4 linked regions of the Pelodiscus sinensis genome follow. The protein of the gene in region 3 binds, or shares a complex with, the protein of the main gene of each other region. Links are inferred from orthologs where the notes say so. Each region holds a gene or a part of one and is shown on either strand. Other genes may lie near its edges.

Evidence for each region.
Region 1: TMEM17 (region 3) and TMEM107 share a complex: the UniProt entries of both Homo sapiens proteins name them as parts of the tectonic-like complex. The link is inferred for Pelodiscus sinensis from reciprocal best matches to the Homo sapiens genes TMEM17 and TMEM107.
Region 2: TMEM17 (region 3) and TCTN1 share a complex: the UniProt entries of both Homo sapiens proteins name them as parts of the tectonic-like complex. The link is inferred for Pelodiscus sinensis from reciprocal best matches to the Homo sapiens genes TMEM17 and TCTN1.
Region 4: TMEM17 (region 3) and TMEM67 share a complex: the UniProt entries of both Homo sapiens proteins name them as parts of the tectonic-like complex. The link is inferred for Pelodiscus sinensis from reciprocal best matches to the Homo sapiens genes TMEM17 and TMEM67.

What each region holds. Positions count from the first base shown.
Region 1 is NC_134734.1:10,821,436-10,829,171, reverse strand, and holds the start of TMEM107 (transmembrane protein 107), read right to left. Parts: upstream 3,114-7,736; 5' UTR 2,989-3,113; intron 1,530-2,988; exon of another isoform or gene 1,526-1,529; 5' UTR 1,484-1,525; coding exon 1,397-1,483; intron 341-1,396; coding exon 273-340; intron 1-272. UniProt on the Homo sapiens protein: Plays a role in cilia formation and embryonic patterning. Requires for normal Sonic hedgehog (Shh) signaling in the neural tube and acts in combination with GLI2 and GLI3 to pattern ventral and intermediate neuronal cell types.
Region 2 is NC_134725.1:34,086,470-34,093,985, forward strand, and holds the start of TCTN1 (tectonic-1), read left to right. Parts: upstream 1-4,308; 5' UTR 4,309-4,323; coding exon 4,324-4,723; intron 4,724-7,516. UniProt on the Homo sapiens protein: Component of the tectonic-like complex, a complex localized at the transition zone of primary cilia and acting as a barrier that prevents diffusion of transmembrane proteins between the cilia and plasma membranes.
Region 3 is NC_134713.1:185,703,569-185,711,616, forward strand, and holds the start of TMEM17 (transmembrane protein 17), read left to right. Parts: upstream 1-4,724; 5' UTR 4,725-4,782; coding exon 4,783-4,891; intron 4,892-5,973; exon of another isoform or gene 5,974-6,275; coding exon of another isoform or gene 6,276-6,333; intron 6,334-7,295; coding exon 7,296-7,399; intron 7,400-7,787; coding exon 7,788-7,901; intron 7,902-8,048. UniProt on the Homo sapiens protein: Transmembrane component of the tectonic-like complex, a complex localized at the transition zone of primary cilia and acting as a barrier that prevents diffusion of transmembrane proteins between the cilia and plasma membranes.
Region 4 is NC_134712.1:41,032,563-41,040,231, reverse strand, and holds the start of TMEM67 (meckelin), read left to right. Parts: upstream 1-4,361; 5' UTR 4,362-4,619; coding exon 4,620-4,806; intron 4,807-7,669. UniProt on the Homo sapiens protein: Required for ciliary structure and function. Part of the tectonic-like complex which is required for tissue-specific ciliogenesis and may regulate ciliary membrane composition.

The sequences.
Region 1 (7,736 bases), on a different chromosome or scaffold from region 3:
CCCCCACCCCAGAGCCTACCAACCCCCACTCCCAGGCCAGTTCTGCCTGTCTCAGTCTCTCCACAGGCCCAGCTCCCCTGTCCCTTCTCCCACTGTCTCATGCTGCTTCCACTCTTTGGGCCCATTCCTGCCATCCCAGCATATTCTCCCTCATGCCCTTCCTGGCCCATTTTCCTGTCCCCCCCTCCCAGGTGCCCCCCGATAGGCCCCAAGCCCTGCCAGGCCAGGCCAGTTGACCTCTGGCACACCCGGTCCCTGGCTGACTGACTCACTCCACGTCCTGGCGCTCATACTGCTGCTGGCTGTACTGCAGGGGCAGTGAGGCACGGACATTGTTGTCCTGGAAGATAGGAGGCAGTGAGGTCAGCCCTGCAGGGTGCAGCGTCCTGAGCATACAATTCAGCATGGGAGATGTAGGAAGAACACAGCAAATGCAAGGGAAAGCACACCAGTGGAGCAGACAAGAATCCAAGAGTCCTTAACCCACCAGCTCATATTCCCCTCCCAGAGCTGGAGAAAGAACCCAGGTGTCTCAGTTCCCAACCACCCTTAGCCTCTACCTCCTTGCCACAGCAAGGGCTGAACCCAGGAGTCCTGATCCAGCTTGTTGCTACCCACTTCCCTACAGCCACAACCCCTCCCTGGTTCCTGCGGCCCATGCACTGTATGCTCTTCTCACCTGTGGAAAGTGACTGTATGTGTGTGGGGGGGGGAGGGGGGGAGGAATGAGAAGAGGATGCTGGATGGGTGAGATGGGAGCCCTGCAAGGATGCATGTTGGAGGACTGTGTAAACTGGGAGAGGGGGTGCGTGTGTTGGGAAAGCTATAAATGTGTCGCAGATTTGTGCCTCATAGTGGCAGGCGGGTGTTGCCAGGACAGCATACAGCATGTCATACAGGTGTGCATGGTATGGATGGGTGTTGCACGGATGCGTATCACTGGGCCAGGCATGTTGCATGTTGTAGTCATAGGCGTGGTAAGGGTGGGTTTGTTGTATCTGTGTATGCTGTAGATATGGTTGTTGTTATGCGCGTTGTTGGGCTTCGCGTGCATTACAGGCATCATTCGTTAGTGTGGCATCAAAGTTGGCATGCTGTATGGGTGTACAGTACATCATAGGCATGGTTATCAGATGGATATGCACCTTCAGAATGGACATGTGATACAGCTGAACATGAGAAGGGTGGATATGCTTGGGGTGAGCGGGCAGTCATTCTATAAGGGTGCACACCACAAGCATCAGATCGGTGTGCGTTATTGGCGTGGACAGGCAGGCGTGCTGTGTTGGTGTACGTGGTGGATGTCACATAGGTGTGTATTGTCTGGGTGCACAGGTGGGTGTGCAGGGTGTATGTTGTGGGGATCACAGGGGGATGCGCAGTCAGGGTTTCTTACCCGGGACCAGAAGATGGTGATGACGATGACAAGATGAGCTGTGAGGGTCAGGAAGCGGGCAGGCACCAGCCCGCTGACCAGCGCCATATGGCCCGTGTCCCTCACGTGGTCAGGGTCCTCTGGGCAGGTCTGACTGGGGGGAGCAAAGGTGTCAGACTGGGGAGACCAAAGGAAGCACTAGGCCCCCCACCATATTTCTGAGGAGTTTCCCCATCATCTCCCCAGTAGAGCCCCATGTCCATCACTCCTCCACCACCCCAGCTCCTTTTCCATCTCCATCGCTGCCTCCCTGTGGCGCACCCCATTTCACCCCATCCTCACTGCGTGGTGACATCTCCCCTCCCTCATGAAGTCCCCCCCCAATACCTCCCATATCTATTGCCCTACCCCCCCATCATCATCTCTGCATCACCATCTGCACCCCCATCCCCTTGAGACCTCCTTCTCCATTGCCCCCTCCTGTGGAACCCCCCCCCCCGCACTCTTCCCCCCCATGGAACCTCCCCCCGCACTCTTCCCCCCATGGAAGCCCCCCCCCCGCACTCTTCCCCCCCATGGAACCCCTCCCCGCACTCTTCCCCCCATGGAACTCTCCTCCCCGCACTCTTCCCCCCCATGGAACACCCCCCCGCACTCTTCCCCCCATGGAACCCCCCCCCCCGCACTCTTCCCCCCATGGAACTCTCCTCCCCGCACTCTTCCCCCCCATGGAACCCCCCCCGCACTCTTCCCCCCCATGGAACCTCCCCCCGCACTCTTCCCCCCATGGAACCCCCCCCCGCACTCTTCCCCCCATGGAACTCTCCTCCCCGCACTCTTCCCCCCCATGGAACCCCCCCCGCACTCTTCCCCCCATGGAACTCTCCTCCCCGCACTCTTCCCCCCCATGGAACCCCCCCCCCGCACTCTTCCCCCCATGGAACCCCCCCCCGCACTCTTCCCCCCATGGAACTCTCCTCCCCGCACTCTTCCCCCCCATGGAACCCCCCCCGCACTCTTCCCCCCCATGGAACCCCCCCCCCCGCACTCTTCCCCCCATGGAACTCTCCTCCCCGCACTCTTCCCCCCCATGGAACCTCCCCCCGCACTCTTCCCCCCATGGAACCCCCCCCCGCACTCTTCCCCCCATGGAACTCTCCTCCCCGCACTCTTCCCCCCCATGGAACTCTCCTCCCCGCACTCTTCCCCCCATGGAACTCTCCTCCCCGCACTCTTCCCCCCCATGGAACCCCCCCCCGCACTCTTCCCCCCATGGAACCCCCCCCCCCGCACTCTTCCCCCCATGGAACTCTCCTCCCCGCACTCTTCCCCCCCATGGAACCCCCCCCCGCACTCTTCCCCCCATGGAACCCCCCCCCCGCACTCTTCCCCCCATGGAACCCTCCTCCCCCCGCACTCTTCCCCCCATGGAACTCTCCTCCCCCCGCACTCTTCCCCCCCATGGAACTCTCCTCCCCGCACTCTTCCCCCTCATGGAACCCCCCCCCGCACTCTTCCCCCCATGGAACTCTCCTCCCCGCACTCTTCCCCCCCATGGAACCCTCCGCCGTGGGACTCCCCCTCTCATAGAAAAGAACCCTCAGCGCTCCCACCCGCGGCCGTGATCCCGCTTAGGCCCCCACGTTGCCCGAGGCAACCGCCTCTACGTGCATCCCTTGGCCTCGCCCCATAGAGAGAGGCGCGCCTGCGCGCTGGGTGGAGATGTCGCGAGAACTTCCCGTCTGACGGCGAGGACGAGTCCTAAATCGCCATCTTGTTTGAGGTCAGGAAGAGGGCAGCGGCCCTATGAAGTTCCTCTGTGGGAGGAACCGTTTCCATGTAGGGGATGTAGCTCAGTGGTAGAGCGCATGCTTTGCATGTATGAGGCCCCGGGTTCAATCCCCGGCATCTCCAGTTTTTTTTTTTGTTATTTCAGCCTCTAGCTGGGGGTGTTACCCTGGGAAGCCCTTCCCTGCGGCAGGCTGAAAAATGGTTTCGGTAAAGAAAGGATCCAGGGACAGTGGGAACGATTTATACCCAGGTATCCTCCAATCAACATGCAACAAAACGGTTTATACCCAGGTATCTGTCAGTCAGCAAGGGGCAAAATGGTTTAACAGACTCCCAGGGCTGGAAGAGACCTCAGGGAGGCATCGAGTCCCGCCCCTGCCCACAGCAGCACCAACCCAAACTAAACCATCCCAGCCAGGGCTTTGTCAAGCTGGGACATAAACACCTCTAAGGATGGAGATTGCACCCCCTCCCTAGGGAAATAGTTTTTCCTAATGTCCAACCTGGACCTCTCCCACCACAACTTGAGACCATTGCTCCTTGTTCTGCCATCCCTCACTACTGAGAACAGCCTCTCTCCATCCTCTTTGGAACCTCCCTTCAGGAAGGTGACAGTTGCTATCAAATCCCCCCTCACTCTTCTCTTCTACAGACCAGTGGTTCCCAACCTGTGGTCTGCAGACCCCTAGGTGTCCATGCCAGTACTGTAGGGGATCTGTGGAAAGTTTAGGAAAAGAAAAGAACAGGCCCACCACAGGACTGGGACTTTCCACCAGGCCATTATTGCCCAGGGCTCACTGTTCATAAGCAGTCACGCACACTCTGCCTCCCGCCCTTGAGACTGGATTTTGATACCTCAGGAGGCACAATCTGTCCTCCAGCCACCAGCTACACTGCCATTTACACTCCAGCCCTCTCCCCACTCCCAGTCCCACTCCCACAGTGGGGCCCAATCCTCACTTTCTTTTCTTTTCCTTTTCTTTTTTTTCTCCCCCAGGGCTCCATGCCCTGCCACAGGAGGAATGCCAGGGCAGGAGCTGCTTTGGCCAGGAGATCCCTCTCTCCATATCCTCTGTGGATGGGCTCAAAAAGGTTGGGAACCACTGATGTAGACTAAATAAGCCCAAATTCCTAAGCCTCTCCTCATAAGTCATATGCTCCAGCCCCCTCATCATTTTTGTTGCCCTCTGCTGGACTCCCTCCAAGGCTGTGTCTAGACTGGCCAGTTTTTCCGGAAAATCAGCCGCTTTTCTGGAAAAACTTGCCAGCTGTCTACACTGGCCACTTGAATTTCCGCAAAAGTACTGACTTACTACTGTAAGAAATCAGTGCTTCTTGCGGAAATACTATGCTGCTCCCATTCAGGCAAAAGTCCTTTTGCGCAAAACTTTTGCGCAAAAGAGCCAGTGTAGACAGCTCAGATTTGTTTTCCGCAGAAAAGCCCCGTTCGCGAAAATGGCGATCGGGGCTTTTTTGCGGAAAAGCGCGTCTAGATTGGCACGGACACTTTTCCTCAAAAAGTGCTTTTGCGGAAAAGCGTCCGTGCCAATCTAGATGCTCTTTTCCTAAAATGCTTTTAACGGAAAACTTTTCCGTTAAAAGCATTTCCGGAAAATCATGTCAATCTAGCCACAGCCCAAGTATTTATATCCAAACATCTGGCAGTCAACAACAAGTTAAATCTTTTTTCCTGCCAATCAGCAAGGGGAAAATTATTTAAACCCATGCCGCCTTCAATCAGCATTGGACAAATTGACTTACACCCATGCTCCCTCCGATCAGCAAAGGTCAAGATAATTTCAAACCAGCTATCCTCCAATCAACATACAAAGCCACACATCAGCAATTGCTCCTCACTGACTGCATAAGAAGAATGATTGAGTCTTGAGATTACAGGCAGAGGGCGGAAATCTAAAAAAATATTTTTCATCTATTTATGCTTTTGTATAGTAAATATTAAGGAACAGAATCTCTCTACATTCCCACCCTATCTGTCTATGTACTCCCCCGCAATGCCCTTTGATTTACCTACTCCCCTTTCCTTCCCCCATGTTCTTGCTTAGAAAACAAGAACCCTGAACCACAGCACCTCATCACAACCACATAGAATAGACTCTCTGCAGCAGACTGCAGAGATTATGCTTTTTAGGTAGCTGTGATGGCTGATTGGTTAACGCACTGAATTTGAAATCCCCTGAGATCTCCCTTAGCAGGTTCAAATCCTGTTTGTAGTGATTGGTGCTTTTGCTGGGAGAGACGAGACATGGAGATCTTGCTGACGGAGGGTATGTCTACACTACAAAGTTAGTTCGAACTAACGGACGTTAGTTCGAACTAAATTTCATAGGCGCTACACTAGTGCTCCGTTAGTTTGAATTTAATTCGAACTAGCGGAGCGCATAGTTCGAACTAGGAAAACCTCATTTTACGAGGATTAAGCCTAGTTCGAACTAGCTAGTTCGAATTAAGGGGTATGTAGCCCCTTAATTCGAACTAGTGGGAGGCTAGCCCTCCCCAGCTTTTCCTGGTGGCCACTCTGGCCAACACCAGGGAAACTCGTCTGCCCCCCTCCCGGCCCTGGACCCCTTAAAGGGGTACGGGCTGGCTACGGTGCCCGTGCCAGGTGCAAGCCTGCCAGCACCCAGCCAGCAGACCCTGCACCTGGCATGGATCGAGCCATCCACCCGATGCCCCCCAGCCCTCCCCCTCTTCCCGGGACCAGGCTGGCGGCTCCCGGGAGCTTGCCCGGGACCGCAAGAGGGGAACACCCACCTGGGCTAGTGCAGACATCGTGGACCTCGTCCTCGATCTCCGCACTAGGCACAGGAAAGTGGCCAGCTAGGGCAGGAGAGCTGCCAGCCTGGCCACCCAGGAGCAGGTGTGCAAGAGAATCAAGGGGGTCCAGTGAGACCCCCGACCCTGAGCTTACAATGGCCGTACTGGGTCAGACCAAAGGTCCATCTAGCTCAGTAGCCTGTCTGCCGACAGCGGCCAACCCTAGGGACCCTGGAGGGGATGGACCGAAGACAGTGATCAAGCCATTTGTCTCGTGCCATCCCTCTCCAGCCTTCCACAAACCTTGGGCAGGGACACCACTCCTACCCCCTGGCTAATACCACTCCATGGACCCAGCCTCCATGACTTGATCTCACTTCCCATTAAACTCTGTTCTAGTTCTAGCCTTCACAGCCTCCTGCAGCAAGGAGTTCCACAGGTTGACTCTTTGCTTTGTGAAGAAGAACTTTCTGTTACTAGTTTGAAGCCTGCTGCCCATTCCTTTCCTTTGATGTCCTCTAGTCCTTCTTTATGGGAGCTAATGAAGAACTTTTCTGTATGCACCCTCTCCACCCCACTCATGCTTTTAGAGACTTCTATCCTGTCCCCCCTCCGTCTCCTCTTTTCTAAGCTGAAAAGTCCCAGTCTCTTTAGCCTCTCTTCATATGGGACCTGTTCCCAACCCCTGATCATTTTAGTTGCCCTCCCCTCTCCCAGCCTCTCTCTTCCCCTCTCCCACCTCCTTTTCCCAGTCTCCCCCTGTTTTGTTCAATAAAGACAGATTCCATTTTGGAAGACATGTTATCTTTATTTTGTACATCAAGAAAAGGGGCTAGGGAAGGGTAAGTGGAAGGAGGTGAGGGAGGACTGGGCTGGCTCTGCGGGCTTCTGGGGGTGGAAGCTCTCCTGCAGCCCCCCAATTGCCCCCTCTCCCCAGATGGCAGCCTGCGGCAAGTGCAGCCGGGCTGATGGCTGAGTGCTGTGATGTGCCCAGTGTGGGTAGTCCAGGCAATCCAAGCCAGGACTGCTTTGCAAGCGGGGCACCCCTGAGAACTGTCTGTCCGGGGTGGGGGTCGGGACCCTTTAAGCACAGCCCTCAGCTAGCCTGAGACAGCATCTCCACGCTCTAAGTTCTTCTCTGATGCCCTGCCGGCACTGCTTCCGGCCATCCTTAAGCCCGGTTCAGAGTCCACTAAATGTGGACATGCTAGTTTGAATTAGCAAAATGCTAATTCGAACTAGTTTTTTAGTCTGGATCCGTTAGTTCAAATTAGCTTAGTTCGAATTAACTAATTCGAACTAAGTTAGTTTGAATTAACGTTGTAGTGTAAAAAAACCCTAGGGGTATTTTCTGGGCAAAATTAAGGATGTTAAGTATTGTGTAAATGACTAATCGAATAGTTGATGCATTTTTGCATGGACTATTTGATTAGTCGATAGGGCGGCACTGCCGCTTTGAAGTACCCTCCCCCCTTCTCTCCTCCTCTGATAGAAGCAGCAAGAGAGGGAGCGACTAGTTGACGAATCCTTAACATCCCTAGATGAAATGCCAAGCAGGCATCTATGAGCTGGACAGGTGGGTGACACAGTAGGCTGCGTATGGGTCAATTCTGGGGCCGGGGGAGTGAACCCCAAGTCGCAGCGAGGAGCTGGTGATTGCATCCCCTGATGTTCAGAGGCACAGGCCTTGGGTGGTCAGCGTTCAGGAGTCACTCTCTGATTCTCCTTCCACCTAACAAACCCTCCCAGTTGTGGAGGAATCCTGCCGACAGGCCAGGATTTAGGTGCTCCAGAG
Region 2 (7,516 bases), on a different chromosome or scaffold from region 3:
TTCAGAGGCCCTAAAAGCATACGGAATTAACAGTAAGGTGACAAATCCTGGTTCCATTCAAGTCAATAGCAAAACTCCCCTTGATTCCACTGAGGTCAAGATTTCACACAAGATGTGATTACTTTCTGTTAAGTCTGCAGGGTCAACCCAGCTATGGAGAGTTAGATGGATTTTATTTCTTCTTGTGCAAACAAATTGTTCACAAGTGTCAGTACATTAGACATGTGTAAACCAATTGGTGGAAGTAGGTTGGTGTCTATGATGATCACCTGTGCAACCACATAGTCTTCACATAGTGGAAGGAGGGCAGATTTAAGCATATAGAACTTTTATTATTCATACAGAAGGGGGTAGAGGGAGGCAACAAAACCACAGATTTAATTCAGATCCAAAGCTGTCTTTGCAAGGCTGACCATTAGAAACTGATTGTACAATTAGTGCATATGATACAGAATCACTGAGAGACTAAAAGGAAATAGACACTTTATAAAGTAGAACCATATTCTATACAAGACCATTCTACACGAGAGATCCATTTCCTGGACACCACAGTACAAATCAGCAATGGAAAATTAGACACCACTCTACAGAAAACCCACTGACTCATACAATTACCTACATGCTTCCAGCTCCCATCCAGAACACACTATACGATCCATCATCTATAGCCAAGCCCTGCGATACAACCGCATCTGCTCTAATCCCACTGACAGAGACCAGAAACTTCAGGATCTCTACCAAGCATTTATAAACCTCAACTACCCACCCAGAGAAATAAAAAAGCAAATTGAAAGAGCCAGATGAATACCTAGAAACCAACTACTTCAAGACAGACCCAAGAAAACCAACAATAGAACACCACTTGTCATCACCTACAGCCCCCAACTTAAATCTGTCCAACACATTATCAATAAACTACAGCCTATACTGGAACAGGATACTAAACTCTGAGAGGTTCTGGGAGACAGACCCGTAGCCTCCTATAGACAACCACCTAACCTCAAGATGATTCTTACCAACAACCACAGGACATACCACACTAATATCAACCCTGGTACCTTCCCTTGCAACAAACACCGTTGCCAGCTTTGTCCACATATTCACTCTGCTGATACCATTATTGGACCTAACCAAGTGAGTTATAAGATCAAGAACACATATTCCTGCGCATCCAGAAATATAATTTATGCAATCATGTGCCAAAAGTGTCTGTCTGCTATGTACATTGGACAAACGTCTCAGACACTTCGCCAAAGGATCAATGCCCACAAAACAGATATCAGACAGGATCACAAAGAAAAAACAGTTTCTTGCCATTTCAACCAGAAAGGACATTGTCTCAATGACTTGATTACCTGCATCCTGCTTCAAAGGCCTTTTAAGATTTCTCTTGAAAGAGAATCCTCTGAACTGTCATTCATGCTTAAATTTGACACTTTACACTCAAGTTTGAATAAAGACTCTAATTATCTTACCCATTACAAAGATAGCTTCCCCAGTTATCACCTCTATTAGCATTGGCTCACAGATATTTACCTCCCCCCATCTGTTCTGAAATTTGATTTGTCCTTTTCATATGTGTTCATTTTTTAAATTGTAACCTTTGGTATATATGGTTGTGACAATTTTCTTCCACTATTTGATCTGAGGAAGTGGGTCTGGCCCACGAAAGCTCATCATCTATTAAACCATCTTGTTAGTCTTTAAAGTGCTACATAGTCCTGTTTTTTGTTTCAACCATATTTTAAGTCATTGTTGATCTTTCCCAAATGTGAAAACTACGCATAACAGAAACATGATTTTGTCCTTAGACCTAACTTAAAGAAAATGAATAGATTTGTTACCAATTGCATCAAACTCGTAAATCCCCAGTATAATAAAGAGTACCAAAAAGACAAATGTGTATCAACTTTCCTCTCTCTTCTTATAGAGGAAAATAAAGTAGTATTATATACATTTTAATTGGACACTGTTCTAGAGGGCTAACCAAGTGATATTCTTTCAGAAAGTAAAGCGCTCTGGGGTTTCTAGTAGAGTGGGGTGATTGAAGAGAATGTGTCCTTAACAGAATAACTAATTTCCAGGGAGCAGAATGACTCAAGGAAACTGTCATATGATAAGTAAATTGAAATCCAGCCTAAATTAGTAGTGATTGACAGTTGTTAACATCTGAAGGGCTGTTTGGTTGTCTATTTGAAATTAATGTTTTGGTCTTGATACAGTTACAGGCAGACAGACCATCGTTCGCCTCACAAAACTAATCACTACATCTGGCACTATTTAGTCTAATTGCTGGCAGTCCCAGCAGAAAGTCAAAGCCTGAATGGACTATAGGGACCTTAGACATGGTCTGCAGTCTGTCCAGTGCAGGTGGGAGACATGTTGACAAAGGAGGACAATGTGAAGTTGGCACTGCTGCTACCCATGTTGTACCTAGTCTATGGAAATATTTTAGTTGCCAGTATTACAGCTGAAACCTCTCAAAAAATTTAAAAAATATGTACCCAAATGTTACTGCAACAGGAAGTGGTAGTAGTGATGGGAGTGCTAGTTATTCAAAGATTGTTAATGGTATAGTAAGGATTCTGATGTGCTATTTACAAGATTCAGTGCGCCCTCTCATGGTCAAAAAGGTAGCAAGAATAAAAGCTGCTGCTTTATGTCAATGTACAGGAGAAGCTTAAAGCTCTGTATACCTCATTGTAACTCTGAATTGTTTGTAACTCTGAATAAAGTATTATGGTTGTTCTTTCAAAAGTTTACAAGGGTATGTCTACATTTTTTGAGGAGTAACGTTAGTTTGAACCAAGGGCATTGGTTCAAACTAACGCGTCCCGGCGCGTACTTCCTGGTTCAAATCAGCTGTGATTCGAACTAGCGCACCGGTGAGATCATGCTAATAGAGCGCAGGATATTTAAATCCCGGCCTCATTAGCTACTTCACTCGTCTGCATTTGCATCCCTAGTCTGAACTAGGGAGCAAATGTAGACATACCCCAATTGAGTATTGATTTAATATAGCATTATAACTTTATTATGCAGAAAAATGCTTTTAACCATCTTAATTTAAATGAAACAAGCTCGGAAACAGTTACCTTCCCCTGTCAAGTCTAAAAAATAAAGCAAATCCTATATCACACAGTCCTGTTAAATGCAAACTACTAAAACATTTTTCTCTGCTTCCTGATTAAATACTTCTGGTTCAAAATGAAGTATGTGGTTAACTGATCAGTTCATAACTTTTCTCTTGGAGGTTCTACTGTAGCAAGAATAAACTTGTTCAGAAGAGAACCCTGTATAATGATATAGGGTCAGGTCACATGCAGGAAATAATTGTTTCAAAAACATTCATGATCAGATTATGACAAAACAGAAAAAGAGGAAGTTTCAGACCTTTCAAAATACCCTGGAGCCTGTTATGCAGCATACCACAGAGAATCAAGAAAAGTGTACTCTTATGGCCCATGGACAGGAGAGGAGTTGTGTGAAGGAGTAATTATTTTGTTTGTTTTAAACCTGCTACCAGTTAATTTCATTTGGTGACCCCTAGTTCTTATGTTATGGGAAGGAATAAACAACTCTTAATTTATTTATTTCAATATCAGTCATGATTTTATACACCTCTATTGTATCCCTCTTTGTGGTGGTTTTTTTTCAAACTGAAAGGTCCCAGTCTTATTAATCTCTCCTTCTATGGCAGCCATTCCATTACATAGTGATTAAAATGCCAGTGGTTAATCAACACTGGAGAGCCCATCACAGACATTGATTTAGTTGGAACTGGTCCTGCCTAGAGCAGGGGGCTGGACTTGATGATCTTCTGAGGTCTTTTCCAGCTCTATGATTCTATGACATTGGTGGAACTGCAATAATGGGACATGCTAATATTGCTCGTAGCCAAAAACTCAGAGTGCGATATCCCCAAATCTACCCATCTTCATTGAAGCTTGTGGGAGTGTGAACTGCAGGACTGAAGAGCCCAAACACTTATTCAGGAAGGTGCTACAGTGACTGTACAAACTTCTGGGCCCAGAGGGGGAGGGCTTTGCGTGGTGGGGAGCCTTTTTGTTTGGAGGTGTCTGCTACCTCGCACAATGGGGTGCTGGTGCAGGAGCAAGGCTTTTAGCTGCTGCAGCAACACAAATGATAAATGGCTTCAAGAGGGGCAGACTGGCCCCATCTCACCCTCCCTTCTTCCAGTCTGGAGACAAGCACTGACACTGCTTGTCTGTGCCCTCCCTTCCCTATCCCATGATGCCCTGGGGCTGAGCCTTAGCCTTTTCCCCCTGTGCTGGCCCAGGGAGGTAGCTGACTTCTCCCATAATGCCCCGGGGTGGGGTTTGGCTCTTTTCTCCCATAATACCCCGGGGCGTCGCCTTGGTTACCGAGGCGCTGGCGCGCGTAGCGGGGATGGCGCTGAGGCTCGGGGTCCTCCTGCTGCTGCCGCTGCTCCCGGCCGTGAGGGGAGTCTCGGGGCAGAGCGGCCCCGCCAGCGCCTCCCCGCAGCCCTCGGCGGACGCGGGCCCGAGCGCTCCCTCTGTTTGGCCGCAGGCGGCAGAGACGTCGGGCCGCCCCGCCCCAAGCCCCACAGCACCCGGCCCGGACCCCGGCGGGGCCGCCTCCCCAGCCCCGACCTCGCTGCCGCCGCCAGACACCTCAGCCGCGCCCTCTGCAGCGGCTCCAGAGACGCGGGCCGGGGCCGGGCCTTCCCCAGTCACAGACGGTGGGTACCGCCCGGCGAGAGGCTGGGGAGCCGGGAACCGGCCGAGGGGACGCGCGGGGGAGTCTGCCAGGCCGCTAGGGATCGGGCTGGGGTTTCAGGCTAGAGAAGGGGGGGTGTTGGGAGTGGGGGGGATGGCAGACCCGCACGCAGAAGTGTCTGGGGGGTGTGTGCTTTGCTTGGAAATGTGGGCCCCAAGGGCGAGAATGCACCCCCGTATGGGCCCCCAAGTTAGCGTGCCCCGGCCCGCTGTGGGAAGGCTGTGGCTGATTTCTTATCCCCTTCCCTTAAGAGCGAGGCCCAGCCCTGCCTCCCGGCCTCGCTATTGCGGGGAGGGGTAAGAGGGAGAAGCGGAAGAATCCCCAGACTCCCCTTGGCCAGCTGAAGCGTGGGGTAGGGGGAAGGCTCGGACAGCGCACAGCCCCAGCCTTTCCCCAGCTGGCTGGAGAATAGCCACTCAGTGTGCCACTCCTGCCTTCCCCTGTCCAGCCAGAATCAGCCCCATGAGGAACCAGGGAGGGTGCTTTTACACCCCCCCCCCCAACTGGGTACAGACCTGGATGGAAAACTGCAACATGGGGTAGGGAAAGGACCAGAAGAGATTGATTCAGGGTGCTGGGGGCAGAAGGGAGGAGGGGGGGGGAGCTTGGGAGAATCCTCCCTGCTCCCATCACCTGTAGCTTCCATCTCTATAATTCTCTTAAGTTCTGGGTGACACTTCCACAAGGGTGCCAGCTGGGCCTTGGGATTCCTAGGAGGTCACCTCCCATTAAAGTATTTGCTTTCTGAGTGTATTTAAAATGGGTTTTGCCTCTGATCTATTCCTTTTGGCTCCTTACCCCTCCCCTCCTTTTCTAGCGTCACACCTTCATCCATGCCTACCTGTGACTTGGAACAATTGCTTGCTGGAAATCCTTCCTGTGAAGCCCTACTTCTGTGCAAAAGGCTTCACTGAAGGTCTTCTTGCTTGCAGTAGTCCCCACACCACCTTTGTCTTCACACTTGCCTCACACTTGCTTTTCAGAGTTGCATTTTAAACTCTCCAGGTCAGGGACCCTGGCCTTTTTACATGTTCTGTAAATTCCTGTTTACATTTATGGTGCAGCATTCAGGGAAAAGCATTTGTAGAACTGGAAATATGAATGTTATGTTTTGCTTTTCCCTCAATACACTTAGAGCAGTGGTCCCCAACCTTTTTGTGGCCAATAGCACATTCATGTTTTCAGAAGTGTGGCGGGTACCAACAATTTTTCCAGACTTATTTTGTATTTGTACATTATGATGTTTTTCATATTTATTTATTACATAATATATGAATTCATAAGATAAAGGTAATTTTACATGTAAAAGGAATTAATTATTTGGCAATTATTCTTTCACCTTACCATGTGAATTTGTTCTTTTTTATCTATCTGTAAGAAAAATTAAGAACTTTGTACAAAATAAACATCAAACAGTTTTCATCTTATTTAAAAAAAATAAAACGTTATTGAACTGCCAAAATATTTATTATTCTTACTTTAACATAGCTAGTTATGGTTAATTAACAATACAAAGAATATTTTTTACTTGTATCTGGATTTCAATAAACAAACAAACACATATGAAAAAAAGTTAAACAAGTTAATCATACGTGCTCATCAGCACTTAATGGAAAATAGGTATAATTAATTCACGTGGTTTTTCTAATAAAGTCAGTGTGATTTTTGGCACTGCATTTCTTCAGTCAATTTTTCATAGTTGGGAGAGTAGGATGATATTCCCTTCCAGTGCCCCCCTCCACCAGCCCTTCTCTCCCCCCCTGTACCCACTCCTCCAGTAGCCCCACTCTGATCATGTGAGCTACCCTTCCTCATTCCCTCTCCTAACACCTCCTTATACACACCTGCCCTACCTCTCCTCTGGTGCTGGTTCCTCCCCTGCAGGTGTCTGCCCTTCTGCTTCACGCCCAGAATCTCTTGGCACCTGCACCTTCCCTTACCCCTGCACCCTCCTGGTGCCTCCCCCTTCCCTCACTCCCCCTGCCTCCTTTGCCCACTTTTTCCCTGATGCCCGCCCCCTCACCACCCTCTGCCCCTGTTCCCCTCATGGCCCTGTGCCCTCACACATGACTTGCTCCATTCCTGCCTTCCTCATGCCCACCCCTTCTTTCAAGCCTTCTCCCAGCACCTCCAGCCTCCAGTGCCCTTACCCTCTCCTCTCCCAGCATCACCCTGTCCCTCCTCCCAGTGACACCTCCCCTCCTGCCCTTTTCCTCATTGTTTCCACTTACCTCCCCTCCCTCCCCCCGGCATTTGTCTCTCCTCCACCCTATCCCTTGGTCCCTTCTCCTTTATTCTCCTGACCTGCCCCTCTCCCGTCAGCACAAGCCCCTTCCTCTCCCATCCTTTCCCCCTGTTCTTTCCCTCCCTTACCTTCTGCCTTCCAGTTTGCAGGGCTGGAGTCTGCTGCGATCAGGCCCCAGAAGTCCCCGCAGCCCGGGCTCCAGACCACGTGCTGGACTTGGAGCTGGGCCACTTGGCATTCGCCGCCCCAGCCCATTACAACACAACTGCCCCACCAGGTGCACTTACCACCATCCTACCTTTAGCCAGGCTCTGCTCCCCCATGCCCTGCTCGGTGCATCTTCTTCCTCCTTCCCCGATCCGTGGCTGACCGTTTTAAAAAACGGTGCTGCCACACCGATGTGGCACCACCTCCTCTGGTGTGCTGCGCGTGACCCCACCCCCGGCACAGCCGTGGCTCCACCCGTGTTGACAGCACATGTTTGCACCTCTTGCGGCTGTGCCCACTTTC
Region 3 (8,048 bases):
AAAAATCGGTGATATTTAAATTTTGTTAGCTATGCTGCATCTGGTGTTTATGGCTTAGTTTTGTTGCCAGACAGCCCCAGGAGCATCAGTCTGGGAGCCCAGCCAGTGTCTCCCAATTTAGTCGGACAATTGTGGATACACAGAGATCCAATATTCCTGATTTAAAGCTCACAGGCAGATTGTCAGGGACTTTTGTTTTATTTATAGTTAGCATGTGTGGAGAGAAATAAAACAGTAATTTAAAATACTGTGCAATTAAGGGTTTATTTCTTCAACGTGCAGAAGTTTCTCATTCCAGTAGCTTATTTCAAAGCATAAAGAATTGGAATCTCTAGGTAGTTGTGCCTCATCCATTAAGAGGTGGATAGACATGAAGAAATACAGGAATGGGGATTCCTTTCCATTTAAAAAAAGGAAAGAGATGAATATCCAGGACTTCTATAAAAGTTGAACATTTATGATGACCATCTGTATGAGTACCGGATCTGTTCCAGTCACGTGCAGTTTAATGGTCTTCCTTTCCTTATGGTTCACTATTATATAAAGCACTAAATTACCAGTTCAGCTGTTCCCCAGGCTCTGTTCCTTAAAAATATAACTTCCCTTTCTGCTTGAAACAAAAGAATCTGCTCACTAAAAACACACTCCATAAAATGAAGTCTCCTGTTCATTAAATTCACAATAGATGGTTGCATGAGCCCAAGGACAATTAAATTGGATTAGCTGAAAAACAGACATATTCTACCTATGGGGAATATTGTATGCATATACATGAAAATTAAATATTGAACAAAGGTATGAGGCTTTTTTTTAACTGGGGCAGGTAGGATGCTTGCCATCTGCTGAACACATTGCCCTGTCAAATATCACAGATTCATATCCTGAATGTGGAAACCAAGTGCACATAGCAAATCCATGGATTTCTTTAGTATCTGCCTTCCACTGGCTTTTCTCCTTTACTTGCAGCTCAATTTTGCCACTTCACTGATTGATAAGCTGTGCTACCTCCCACTATTTTGGGGAACTGAGAGCCCAATTTTTCAAATCTTCCTTATGTCAAGAGTACTTTATTGTGTGACAAGTCCCATTCACTGTAAAGGAAATACTCATGTGACTAGAGACTTCACACCTGACAGATTGGCGGAATTGGGCCTATAAAATTAGAAACATAGAATGAGAGATCTAAGTATCTGTGCAGAGTGACTGCATGGTGTCTAGCCAAGGAGCAGCATATCGTTTGTTATTGACAAGAAAAAAGGTCTCCCTAATTTAAGTAATCAACTGGAAAATCCCAAAGGAGTAAATTATTTTAAGATGGAACCTTGACTTACCAACACGCCATGTGGGAAGAACTTCCATGAAGATCTGACTTAATCATAAGTTCACTGCCATACTTTTACTTTATGCATACCTGCTCCTTTCATAGGGATATTCAGTGGTAAGGATTTTGAACCAATATTTTAAAATGCATTAAATTATCCAAGACCAAGGTAACGATGATGAAATGAGGTTTCAGACACTTCAATTAAAATTATATTCTAATGTCCTGAGACACACACCTTTAATGATGTTTCCTCAAATATAAAGTTAGCTTTAGAATTACTCCTTAACATTTATATTTGCTTCTGTGGGCAGTTTATTTAGTCTGTAGAGGTTTTGAGAGTCAGGATTCCTGGATTCTAGAAATGAGCGATTATCATATGTTTTTCTTTTAAAATTTCTAGTTGATATTTTATGAGGAACATGTAGATAGACTGGATTACCTTTCTTCTTATATTGAATCATTTCAACAGAAGGTTAACATCACATTTCAAAGGGTCAAACTCTAATGGCATTTTCCGTAAAATGGGTGCAACAACATTTAACTACCGTGTCAACTTTAATTAATTGATAGCAACTTCCAACCACTTTCAGTACAAATTCCAACCACTCAGGAATTACTCTAGCTTCCTCTGAACTGCCCACAAGCTCTTCCTCCCCTAAATCTCTTTTGAGCACTTCAAGGAATAAGGTCTTGCCTGCCTGTATTTATTTCCTTTATTCAAGGAAAACCTGTGAAAGAAAATTGGTGTCAACACTTTTACCAACATTAAACTATTCTGTAGAACTCTCATCTTTCGAATATTATCAAGGGAAACAGTTTGGTAGGATTTCTTTTTAAAATAGATTGACATTTATATGAATTCACTCTGCAGTTACACCAGTTAGGTTAAAACTACAATAATTCAAAAATCCTGCCAAAATTCCTAAAAACTGATCATCAACTGCAGTCCAGGGGGACAATAATTTATATTGCAGGATTCCCCACTCTCCTCCAAGAAGACTGGGCCCTGTGTATCTTGGTGAATCTCATGTATGTGGGGTTAAGGTGACCATATTTTGAAAAAAAAAATTTTTTTTAAAAGCAGGACACTTTTGTAAAAACGTTTTTAAAGGTAAGGAAATACTCATTCAAAAGTAATTTAAAAATATGTATCGGTGTCACTGCTGCTAGCTTTTCACTCAAAAGCAACACGGGGAAATATCTTAAGCGTGCAGTGCATTTTCTACTAAAGTTAGAGTGCACGTTCATGATACTTCTTCAGCTGATGGGCCTTACAGTTCAATCCACTGTGGGCTATACTCTCCACTCCTAACACCATTCATCCCATCCAATGCTCCTTCCGCTGCACTAGTGCCTTAAGCACCGGACTCCTACTCAGTACTGCAGTACTTCCTGGACCATTTGTTTTTAAAACTTTTAGGATATATAGAAAACTGGAAGGACTCAGGTGCCCTGAAAGCAGGTCTTAGGTAGGGATGTTAAATATGGGTTAATTAAATAGTCAAGTAACCTCATGAATTCTTATCAGTTAGTTGACTATTCTATAGCCCCAGGGGGTGAGGCTGGCAGCCAGTTCACTTCAGCCTTACTCCTGAGGAACCCCCTGCCACTCAGCAGCGCAGGGTGCCAGACGGAAGCTGCTCCAGTTTAAAAAACAGCTCCCCTTGTGGATCAGCTGCCTGTCACCCTGTACTGCTGCCTCTCATAAAGAGGAAGCAGTGCAGGGTGTCAGCAGCCCCTGTGTGTGGGGGGGGGGGGGGGTGGAGGGGGGTGGAGCGGGATCGGTCTGAACTCCCAGACCCAGCATGAGCCGGAACCAAGCCGGGCTGCCTGCCTGCTAGGGTTGCCAGGTGTCCGGTTTTGAACTGGACAGTCCAGTATTTAAGCTTTCTGTTTGGGGAACTAATTGAGAAAATATAAATGTCCAGTATTTTCTAAATAAGATGTAATGTAGAGTGTGATGTAATGTTAAGTGTGTCTGGTATTTTTGTTGAAACCATGTGGCACCCCTACCGCCTGCCCATCTCCTAATACACTTTAAATGCAGAGCCACAGCAGGGGTAGGTCTCAAATCCATCACAAGCCAGGACTGAGATGGGCTGCTGGTCAGCCTGCTAAAAAATTTACTGGCAAGGGGTGGAGGAGAGAAATGTGTGTAGTCTATAGCATTAACCTATTAGCTTTTGCTTATCGGTTTAAGGGTTAATCGACTGCTTTATTACATCCCTAGTCATAGAATCATAGACTCATAGGGCTGGAAGAGACCTCAGGTGGTCATCAAGTCCAGCCCCCTGCCCAAAACAGGACCAATCTGGGTCAGCAGGACATTGTGTGAAAAAAACAGGCTGTGGGATGGCCATGGTGGGTACGCCACATATTGCAACCAGCCACATGCCAGGCTCAGTTGGGCCCAGGGAATACTGGGCAGGGAGGGTGTGACGTAGTGGGGGTACCTGGCTGGTTTCTATGCTGCTGGCTCTGGGGTAACCCCCACTGGCTCCCGTGGGTACCACGACCCAGCAAAACAGGATGAGTCACTATGCAAACCAGTATGGCCAGACACCCCCCATGGAGAGGAACAAAGGAAGGTGGAATGCTGCCCTGGCTGGGGGGCAGGGCTGGAAGAGAGTTAGTTAGTTGCGGTCTGTGAGCATGGAGGAGACAGCCTAGGGAGAGGGGCTGGAGTTTAGGGGCCCAGTCTCCCCCCAACTCAAGGGGGCCTGAGGCATCCTAGCCCAGCTCTGTGACCAGATTACATCTGTGCTGTGCTGTATCCTGGAGAGGCAATAAACTTCTTCTATTCCACCGGCTGGTGCAGTCTGTTTGTGCCATTTCGGGGTGCAGGAGACGGGGGACCCCCAACGCGCCGTCACAGAGGGATGCCCTCTTGGGGGTGCCCTGCCAGAGAGCATGGGGGGAAAGGCTAGAGAGGGTTGCCAGGCGTCCCGTTTTGAACCAGACAGTCCAGTATTTTAACTTTCTGTTCAGGAAACAAATTGAGAACTATAAGTGTCCAGTATTTTCTAAATAAGATGAAATGTGGATTGTGATGTCATGTCAAGTGTGTCCAGTATTTTTGTTGAAACCATCTGGCAACCTGGCTAGACATATGATTTAATGACTAAACTTGTTTCTACATGTGTTTTGAAATCACAGGCTATATTTTTCTATGCAAATATTGGAATTTCAAAATGTAGTAGATTATAAAATGGGGAAATAAGTTCTTGTACACAATTTGTCACACTTGGCACTGGCCCCCACCCATAGGCCTGGGGCTCTGCTTTGGGGCTGGCAGCAAGCAGGAGCCCTGGGCCTGGGACAGGAGCGACCCCTCCCTTCCTGCCCTGGCTGGGGTTGGTGGGGGCACAGTCAGGGTAGCGGCTTCGCGGGTTGCTACTGCGCATGCTCGAATCGCTAGTTGCCATGGCAGCGGGTTGGCTGCCCCTCGCGCGGCCAGCATGGCGCTGCCGGATCCGGTCAGGAGGCGGCTCGGCTCCTTTAGCCGGTCTGTGTTCAGCGACAACAACCGCACCGGCCCGGAGCGCCGAGAGAGCGGCGGCAGCCTGGGTAAGGCCTGGTTGCGCTGCCCGCAACAAAGATGGCGGCGGCATCCTCAAAGGGAGAGAGGTGGGGGGGCAGAGGGTCGCTGCCAGGAACGAAGATGGCGGCGCCAACGTCGCTGTAGCGGGGCTATGGCTAGGACTGGGCGGATGGGACAGCGCGTCCCCGCGCTCAAAGGGCGGGAAGGGGGCGCGCGCTGCCTTGCGCCGGCAGCTTCCCCCCTCCCTCCGCCCCAGGGGTGGCAGCAGCCGCCGCGCGGGGCCTCCCTGCTGCGCCGTGGCTTGGGGACGTGGCTCCGCGTTGGCGTCCCCGGGGCTGCGGGTGCCAGAGCATCCCCGGGCTCGCGGGAGTGAGAGCTGCGCTAATGCATCGTCTCCGCCCTCAGCCCCCCTGTTCCTGCTCCACGGCTTGGCTTAGGTACCGCTCCCCAGGCTGTGAGCCTGCCTGCTGGGGGGCTAGACCCCAGCTTGGGAGCTAGGCTGTGCTGCCAGTCCCACCCGTTCAAAAATCCCAGGTCAGGCATCCCCCCTGGAGCTCAAGAGGCCCTCATCAAAATCCTGAGATTTAAACGAGGACTATGGGGTCTTTGCCTTTGGGTTTCGCATGATTAGGGGTTTGCTTTGGGATGGTTGTTTCTTTGGTTGTGGCAGCTTTTCTTAGCAGCCAGGAAGGATCGGAAGCTCTAAAAAATAAAAGCTGAGATTCTCACAATCCCAGGACTCTAGAAGCTGGGGCTTTAAGAAAAGCACCACAAACTATTAAACCAGTTGGGATGCCATTGGACATCAGCCCAGGGCAAAACATATTGACTGTGTCAGACTGGCAAGTTTTTCCACAAAAGCGGGTGCTTTTGCGGAAAAACTTGCCAGCTGTTTACACGGGCTGCTTGAATTTCTGCAAGAACACTGACGATCTCATGTAAGAAATCAGTGCTTCTGGCAGAAATACTATGCTGCTCCCGTTCGGGCAAAAGTCCTTTTGGGCAAAAGGGCCAGTGTAGACAGCTCAGATTTGTTTTGCGCAAAAAAACCCCGATTGCAAAAATGGCGATCAGGGCTTTTTTGCGCAAAAGCGCGTCTAGATTGGCATGGATGCTTTTCCGCAAAAAGTGCTTTTGCAGAAAAGCGTTTGTGTCAATCTAGACGCTCTTTTCCGCAAATGCTTTTAACAGAAAACTTTTCTGTTTAAAGCATTTGCGGAAAATCATGCCAGTCTAGACGTAGCCTCTGTGCCTTTCTGTGAAAATACTACCATCCCTTCACACTCAGCCAGGCACTCGGTGTAACTTGCCAGATATTTTATACCACCACCTAGCATATTTCATCTGAAAAGCACAAAGCACTCCAGGACGTAAAATAAATCAGACTCTCACTGCCACCACATGTAACTGATGGTTTGGGTGTTTGAATTGGATCTGCTGAACCAGGGACACGTAACAGGACTTACAGGTGAGGCAATCATAAGGAGGAACTTCCACATGCACAAACCCATGGTACTTGTGGATACTTCTATGGGCTGCACTTTGAGAAATGGGGGGGAACTTCCAACAGTCAGTTTACTGATAATTAATTCAAGTAGATTTAATGTGATATCAATCCATTGGACAAAGAAAGAAGGAAACTTGTCAGTTGAAACAAAACCATTCCTGATGTTCTCATTTTTAGGACTTATTTTGTATCTGGGTCTGGTTGTATATTTTTGTTTTGTTTTTGGAATTTACATGCAAACTCTAAACACTGTAGAACTTTACCTCCTACATAGTATTCCAAGGGTCAGTATTTTGTTTTTCTGAGGTTTAGCAGCTAATTTTCTTCTCTTCATAGTGTTTGATTTGTAACTCCTCATTCTGTAATGTACATTCAAATTTGCCCCTTTTTAAAAAGCATATTGGATTGACATTGCTGGAGTCTAGAATTTTCTGTGCAGAAGAAAGATTGCATGGAGACCAAGCGATGCAAGCTTCTCCATCAGCATGCTTGCGTTCTGATTTGTAGAGATCAGTTTTAATTTGAGTATAATCAAATATATATGGTCACTTAGTCCCATTAAAAAAAGGCCTAGCATTATCACATTGCTACAGTCAGGCATCAGGAATTAAGAGTACAAGTCAGTTCACCTCCACTGTCTATTGCTCTCCTTTTGAGCACCTCCTCTGCTTAACACCTTCCTTATTTCTTTGTATACTCCCATCACACTTAGATTGTTTAGAATACGGTAGGGAATTATGTAGAAAAATTCTTCCTCTGGCCACTTTGACATATGCTTAATGATGAACTTGGTTGATCTCAGAATCCAACCATTAATGAGTTGAAGTTGTTCTCTTAAAGTAGAGGCATCTTTCTCTGCTCTATGTAGGAAATATAATGTCTGATACAGACCTTGGGTGATGATGATTTCTCTCGCTCTCTAGATAATGAAATAGTTGCCAGTTTGCCATTGCAGATGTCCCTCTATTTCAACCTTTACTTTTTCCCATTTTGGTGGGTAAGCAGTGTGGTCATGCTCCAGCTGAAGGTAAGTCCTGAGGGGACTTATCCCCTACAACATCTGTGCTGCCTGTTTGAATTTTATTTCCTTACACTGTCTGCAAGAGTAATATAATACTCAGCCCATCTACTCATTTCCTTCAACCCACACATGGCAAATGTTATTTAATAGAGTGCAATAGCTTAGTGGAAATGTCTGAGTATCTGGAGGTGCAGGAATTTGTGACAGAGTTAGTGACAGGTTTGGTTGGGTGGCAGATTGAAAAATCAGGGGCAACGGCTTGTCAACTTTCAGGAATATTGACAGTGCTGCATGAATTTCCAGAATGCAAATTCCATGAGCTTCTGTAGAGCTGTATAAAATAGCAATAGCACATGCCAGCCCCATGGAATTCTTACTTTCTTCCTCTCTCTAGTACCCAGTCTTGCCAGATTACTACAAGTTCATCCTGGTCACAGTCATCGTCATAGTCTCTCTCATTGAGGCCATCCGACTGTATCTTGGATATATGGGCAATCTGCAGGAGAAGGTATGTTCTGTTGACCTCTGAACATCCGTTCAGGAGCCTTAGAGGGCTGAATATGAGGCTTTGGATTACAGACACCACACAGTTACATTCACTGATAAAGTAGAACTTATTAATTGGACTTGAAGTGGGGTTCATGGCCCTAGGTAA
Region 4 (7,669 bases), on a different chromosome or scaffold from region 3:
TTGCGCAAGAGAGCGTCTACACTGGCATGTGCCTTTGCGCAAAAGATTTGCTTTTGCGCAAAAGCATCCGTGCCAGTGTAGACGCTGTCTTGTTCAAGAAAGCTCTGATGGCCATTTTAGCCATCGGGCTTTCTTGCGCAAGAAATTGATGTTACCTGTCTACACTGGCCTCTTGCGCAAGAACAGTTGTGCGAGGGGACTTATCTCTGAGCGGGAGCATCAGACTATTTGCGCAAGAAGCACTAATTTCATACAGTACAATGTCAGTGTTCTTGTGCAAATACTCGCAGGCAGTGTAGGTAGGTGGCAAGATTTTGCGCTAAATCTTGCCAGTGTAGACACAGCCCCAGATGAACATAATTTGTTGGGGAAAAGTTAACATGGTTTCTGTAAAGTGAAATCATGCCTTACTAATCCACTAGAATTCTTTGAGGCGGTCAACAAGCATGTGGACGAAGATCCACTGCATGGTGGGCAAAAGGGCCTCTGTGGGCCGCATCCAGCGCACCAGGCAAGTGGATCTGGCCCACGGAGGCCCCAATAAGAGCCTGGGCACGGGCGGGGGAGGGCACATGAAACTTCCTCCTGCCATGCAAGGAGCACACAGCACTTCAAAGTGCTCCATGTTCCTCTCAAGGCAGGAGGAGACATCAAGTGTTCCCCTGCCCCCATGCCCTGATTGGCCTGGGGGCGAGGGAGCGGTGCAAAGTTTCCTCTGCCCTCCCCCCACCCTGCAAGGCACGCATGGCACTTCAAACTGCTGCACGCTTGCGCAGGGCCGGAGCAGGGCGAAGGAAGCTTCATGCAGCTCCCCTGCCCCCTGAGGAGCGGGAGTAGGGCAGGAGGTGGCTTCACATGCACCCCCAAGCCAATCAGGGCCTGAGGGTGGGGGAGCTGTGTGAAGCTTCCTTCACCCTGCCCCAGCCTTGCACGGAGCACGCACACTTCAAAGTGCCACATGCTTCTCGCAGAGCAGAAGGTTTCCTGTGCTCTCACAGCCCCCAGAGCCTGATTGGCATGGGGTGGAGGAGCATGCCAAGCCTTTTCCAGGGCATGGATGCCTATTGGGAAGGGGGGGGCAAAGATCTGGGGCAGCCCTGTCCTTCCTGTTTAGGCCCCGCCCATTCCAGGGTGGCCCAGAGCCACTTCCAATTTTTCAAGTGGCCCCAGGGCAAAAATTATTGCCCACCCTTGATCCACTAGATATCATGTACTTAGATTTCAAGAAAGCTTTTAACAAGATCTCTCACCAACGGCTCTTAAGCAAAGTAAGCTGTCATGGATAAGAAGGGGAGAGTCCTCTCATGTACTGATAACTGGTTAACACATAAAGGTTAGGAATAAATGGTCAGTTTTCAGAAAGAAGTAATTAGTGGTGCCCCACATGGATCTGTTATGGAATGAATCCTATTAATAAATTATCTGGAGAATGGGGTAAACAGTGAGGTGGCAAAATTTGCAGATGATACTAAACTGCTCAAGATAGTTAAATCCAACATAGACTGTGAAGAGCTTGAAAAGGAAATCACAAAACTAGGTGACTGGGCAACAAAATGGCAGATGAATTTTTCATATTGATAAATACAAAGTAATACATATTGGAAAACAATCTCAATATCCATAAAAAACTATGGAAACTAAATTAGCTGTTACCATTCAAGAGAGATCTTGGAGTCACTGTGGATAGTTCTCTAAAAATCCACTAAATGTGCAGCAGTAATCAAAAAAGCAAACAATGCTAGGAATAATTTAAAATGAGATAGAGAATATCTTAATGTGTCTATACAAATCCATGTATGCTCACATCTTGCATACTGTGTGCAGATGTGGTTACCTTGTCTCAAATAAGGTATGTTGGCATTGGAAAAAGTTCAGAAGAGGGCAAAAAATGTTTAGGGACTTGGAATGGCTTCCATACTGGGAGAGATCAGTAAAACTAGGACTTTTCCGCTTAGAAAAGAGGGTTACTACAGTGGGATATGATAGAAGACTTTAAAACCATGACCGGTGTGGAGAAAATGAATAAGGAACAGTTAGCACTTATTCCCATAACGCAAGAACTAGGGGTCACCACAGGAAATCAATAGGTAGCAGTGTAATGGGGCACGGTCACAGAAGACTCTTTGGGAGTGCTTCCCAGAGTGCTGACAAGGCCACTGACACTCACCTTCCTGCTCTCTGGGGGCTTTCACTACCTTGTCCTGCTGGGCCAGCTCCCTGGTCTCCCCCAGCTAAGGCACAGAGCTGAGATCACTACCCTCCACTCCCTTCAAGGAGCAGTACAGACACTGAAGCTCTTCAAGCCCAAGGGAAATGCAGTTTTGAGCCCAGCTTCCTGGGATACCACTCCCCAAATGGGATCAGAACCCCAAATGAATTTAGGTAAGCCCCCTTTAACAATAAAACAGCCAGAGCAAAATAGATTACAAATTTAAAATAACAGAAAATGCTTAGCTAATTCTAACACTAGAACCTCAGTACAAACTTATTATAAACTCACCCTAAAATTGTTCTTATTCTAGATCACCCTCCAAACCAGGGAAATTGCCTCTCCCTGAGGTCTTTAGTTATCCTCCTGGGAGTACCATGCCAGCTAAAGACAAAGAAACTCCTGTCATGGGCTGGGTCTGTGCACTGCTGAGGGCATCAGCTTAGGGCGAATTGCTCAAAACCAGGGCTCCTCACAGCCCTCAACTGGAGACCTTTCCCAAACAGGCCACAAACCAGTCACACGGAGTGCTTCACCTGCCAATCTGGCCATCAGGAAGCGTCAAGCAAAACCCCTCAGATACCCCAACTCTCCCTCATGGGATTTTTATATTCCTGGTGTCTCCCAAACTGAAGCTGGTTACATGATCAAGTGACCTATCTGTGGAAGGTTGTTTACCTGTCAGCAGAGTTGAAACTACTGACCAATGAGGTTAGGACTAAGGATGTTAAATATCAGTTAATTGAATAGTCAATCTCATGAATTCTTATCGGTTAGTTGACTATTCTGTAGTTCCCGGGGATGGGGCTGGCAGCCAGTGTGCTTTAGCCTCACTCCTAGGGAGCCCCTTGCCAGCCTGTACTGCTGCTTCTCTATCAGAGGCAGCAGCACAAGGTGCCAGTGGAAGCTGGTCCACAAAGGGAGCCAGATTAAAAACCAGCTCCTCTCATGGACCAGCTGCCTGCCACCCTGCACTGCTGCCTCTGATGCAAAGGCAGCAGTGCAAGATGGCAGTTGCCCCTATCGGGTGGGGGGACAGGGAGGGTAGTCTGAGCCCCCAGACCCAGTGCAAGCTGGAACTGAGCTGGGCTGCCTGCTCGCCTGGCTCCTAATATGCTTTAAATGCAGCGCCACAGTGGAGGCAAGTCTCGGACCTGGTGCAAGCTAGGACTGAGCCAGGCTACTGGTCAGACTGCTAAAAAATGTATGGTGGGGGGAGTGCATATAGTCTATAGCAGCGTTTCCCAAACTATGGGCCGTGGCCTGGTACTAGGCCGTGGGAAAAAAATACCGGGTCTCAGCGTGACTGCCGGGAGGGGAGAGGAGCGGGGCGGGCTGAGAGGAGGTGTGTGTGAGGTGGAAACTGGCCACTGGGAAGCAGGGTTGGGGGCAGTGGGGCTCTTCCGCGGAGATCGGAGGTGGGGGGGGCAGCTGGTGGAGGCAGGGTTGGAGGCAGCGGGACTGTCCAGTGGAGATTGGGGGCGACCAGCCAGCAGAAGCAGGGTTAAGGGCAGCGGGGCTGTCTGGGGAAGATTGGGGCGGGTGGGTGGCAGAAGCAGGGCTCGCCGGGGGGATTTACTGGTCCCCGTGTCAAAAAGTTTGGGAACTCCTGATCTAGAAGAAAAGTGGCTGGATGTTCCCTGTTGTAACCGATGGCTGCTCAGGAGAAATTCAGTTGCTGCCAGTTGATTAGCACAGCACAGCACCAGTGTCCAGTAGCATGGGGCATATCCACACATGGCTCAGTGCACATAACAAAATTTATTCCGCCAATGGATGGAAAACATTAGAGGAAACTCTTGCTGGATGAGGTAAATTATTTTCTTTTCCTCAACTAGCCACGGCCCGTAGTTTGGGAAATGCTGTTCTAAACCATAATTCTGCCTACCTTTCCAAATACAAAATAAAACAGAATGCAGCCAGAAAAAGGTGCCTAGAGTTATGTATCCTTTTGTTGTTTTCTCCCCACTCCCCCGTTTTGAAGGCTCAGTTCCATTCAAAGTATTTTGAACCAAGTTTATTTCTCCTGCCTGTCCAGGTGTCCATGAGATCGCCTCTTACCGGCTTCTCTGGCCTTGTATATACTGTTTCTATAGTTCCCTCTTTTTCCCTGTCTGCTCAGTGTTTTCTCTTCCTGTAGCGCTCCCCCTATTCTTCCCTCCTCCATTCTGCCCCCGCACGCCCCACTGCGCTGCTTTTCAAGCCTCGCGTTCCGCTTTGGGGGAAGAAGAGGAAACGGCATCCACCAGCCCAGCCTACCCCCATCCTACTCTTTGCTCCCATAGGCAGGTCTCCGGCCTGGGCTGTTTCTGGCCCTTCTGGCTGTCCGTAGCCGGGACTGTCCTTGATTCAGCGGGAGGAGGTTCGCCAATCCGCGCGCGGCGGGAAGGCTGCTGGGAGCTGAGTAGCCATGGCGACGGCGGGGCGCTGTGGACCCGTTGTTCTGTTGCTTCTGTTGCTCAGCGCGCGGCTCTCGGCTGGGCAGAGCTTCTCCCTGCCGCTGCGCCAGCCCCAGGACTGCGGCGATGGCCGTTACTTCGATATCTCCAGCCTGGCGTGCAAGCAGTGCGGGCCCCAGCAAGGGCGGAGCGCCGGGGGTGAGCGAGCGAGCGAGGGGCTGGTGGGGTGGTGGGGAGTCCTGTCTCGCTGCGGGCGGGGTGCGGTGGGCGGTGTAACAAGCCCAACCTGCCTTCCGTCTGCCCAGGCCTTGGCGGGTGCGTGGCCCCCTTCTCTGGGACGAGCTGTTCTGGGAGGGTCCGCTCAATGACGGGCCAACTTGAGGCAGAGCCTGGGCAGAGGGGCTGCGGCATCATCATGTTACTTGCCCGCCCCTGCTGCACGAAATACCCGTGAAGCTGCGTTTGTGGTGAGTCCCTGGGAGCCGAGTTGCGGGCTACCCTAAGCAGGGGCAGGGGAGGGAGAGTGTTGTTCAATGCTGGGCTCTTTAATTCAGATTGGACTTGTCAGAAATCGGGATGTTTGTTCGTGGCACGGGAACGCAGGTACCCGCGGAATGGTGACGTGTCGGCAGTGATCCGCCTGCAGAGCTTAGACGGGTACTGAGTTAGTGATGCTGCCAGGGGAAAGTGGTGCCCTAGGGAATTTTTGTCCTGTGACTTTTTGTTTTTCACTCTAGCATAGATGGGTTGAATTTGTTGTACATTCCCCATGCTGAGGCAATAAGTAAATTTTCTGGGACTACCATAATTGAGGCCCAACTTAAATGTATACCCCAATTTAAAAAATACAGTAAAAGAACCAAAAAATGCCACCATGACTTAACAACCAAATAAAAGAAGCAATGAGAAAGAAAAAGGTGTCTTTTAAAAAGTGGAAGTCAAGTCCTAGTGAGGAAAATAGAAAGGAGCATAAACTCTGTCAAATGAAGTGTGAAAATATGACAAGAAAAGCCAGAAGGGAGTTTGAAGAACAGCTAGCCAAAAACTCAAAGAGTAATAGCAAAATGTTGTTTAAGTACAGGCAGTCCCTGAGTTACGCGGATCCGACTTATGTCGGATCCACAGTTACGAATGGGGATTTTCTCGCCCCGGAGGACTGGAGCAGCGGGACGTTGGGGGAGCCAGCAGACCAGGGAGACGGGGAGCAAAGCGGCGGAGGACCCGGGCTGGACCCGCGGCGCTGATCTGGAAGCGCCGCGGGTCCGGCCTGGGTCCTCCGCCGCTTTGCTCCGCATCTCCCTGGTCTGCTGGGGGGTGACGCAGCTAGTGCCTCCCCCCCAGCAGACCAGGGAGACGTGGAGCAAAGCCCGAGGCCTGTGTTAGAGCAGGTGGGGCGCTGCCGGTTGGTCCCGCAGCACCGCTCCTTGGCGCTACTGGACCAACCCGGCAGCACCCCAGCTGCTCTGCCCCAGGCGTCCTGATTCAGCCGCTGCTGATCAGTTTCAGCAGCGGCTGAATCAGGACGCCTGGGGCAGAGCAGCTGAGGTGCTGCTGGGTTGGTCCAGTAGCGCCGAGGAACGGCCGCGCTACTGGACCAACCCAGCAGCACCCAAGCTGCTGTGCCCCAGGCGTCCCTAAGTCAGCCGCTGCTGAAACTGACCAGCGGCTCACTACAGGAAGCGCGAGGCAGAGTTGCTCTGCCCCGGGCTTCCTGGAATCAGCTGCTGATCAGTTTCAGCAGCAGCTGACTTGGGGACGCCTGGGGTTCTTAAGTTGAATCTGTATGTAAGTTGGAACTGGCGTCCAGATTCAGCCGCTGTTGAAACTGATCAGTTTCAGCAGCGGCTGAATCTGGATGCCAGTTCTGACTTGCATACAGATTCAACTTAAGAACAAACCTACAGTCCCTATCTTGTACATAACCCGGGGACTGTCCGTACATCAGAAGCAGGAAGCTGGCAAACAACTAGTGGGACCATAGGACAATCAAGATGCAAAAGGAGCACTTAAAGTCTATAAAGTCATTTCAGAGAAACTAAATGAACTCTTTGCTTCAGTCTTCACAGCTGAGGATGTTAGGGAGATTCCCAAACCTGAGCCATTCTTTTTAGATGACAAATCTGAGGACTTGTCCCAGATTGAGGTGTCGTTAGAGGAGTTTTTGGAACAAATTGATAAACTTAACACCGAGACTAGATGGCATTCACCCAAGAGTTCTCAGATATGACATTGTGGAACTATTAACTGTGATTTGCAACTTATCCTTTAAATCAGCTTCAATACCTAATGACTGGAAGATAGCTAATATGATGCCAATATTTAAAAAGTGCTCTAGAAGTGATCCTGGGAATTACAGACTGATAACTCCAACATTAGTACCAGGCAGATAAATTGAAACTATACTAAAGACTACAATTATCAGATACATAGATGGACATAATTTTCTGGGGGAAAGTCAACATGGTTTCTGTAAAGGGAAATCATGCCTTACTAGTCTACTCAAGTTCTTTGAGGGGGGTCAACAAACATGGTCGGGGGAATCCAGTGGATTCCAGAAAGCCTTTACTTAAGAGCCTTCGATGAGGGCCCTTGTCAAAGTAAGTTGTCATAGGATAAGAGGAAAGGTCTTTTCATGGATTAATAACTGGTTAAAAGATAGGAAAAAAAGAGTAGGAATAAATTGCAAGTTTTCAGAGTGAAGAGAGGTAACTAGTGGTGTCCTCCAAGGGTCTGTCCTGGGACTAATCCTAGTCAACTTACTTATAAATGATCTGGAGCAAGGGATAAACAGTGAGGTGGCAAAATTTGCAGACGATGCTAAACTGCTCAAGATAGTTAAGAACAAGCAGACTGTGAAGAGCTTCAGAATGATCTCACCAAACTAAGTGACTGGGTAACAAAATGGCAAATTAAATTTAATATTGATAAATGTAAAGTAAGAGACATTGGAAAAAAATAATCTGAACTATATGTACAATATGATGGGGACTAATTTAACTACAGGCAGTCCCCGGGTTACATACAAGATAGGGACTGTAGGTTTGTTCTTAAGTTGAATCTG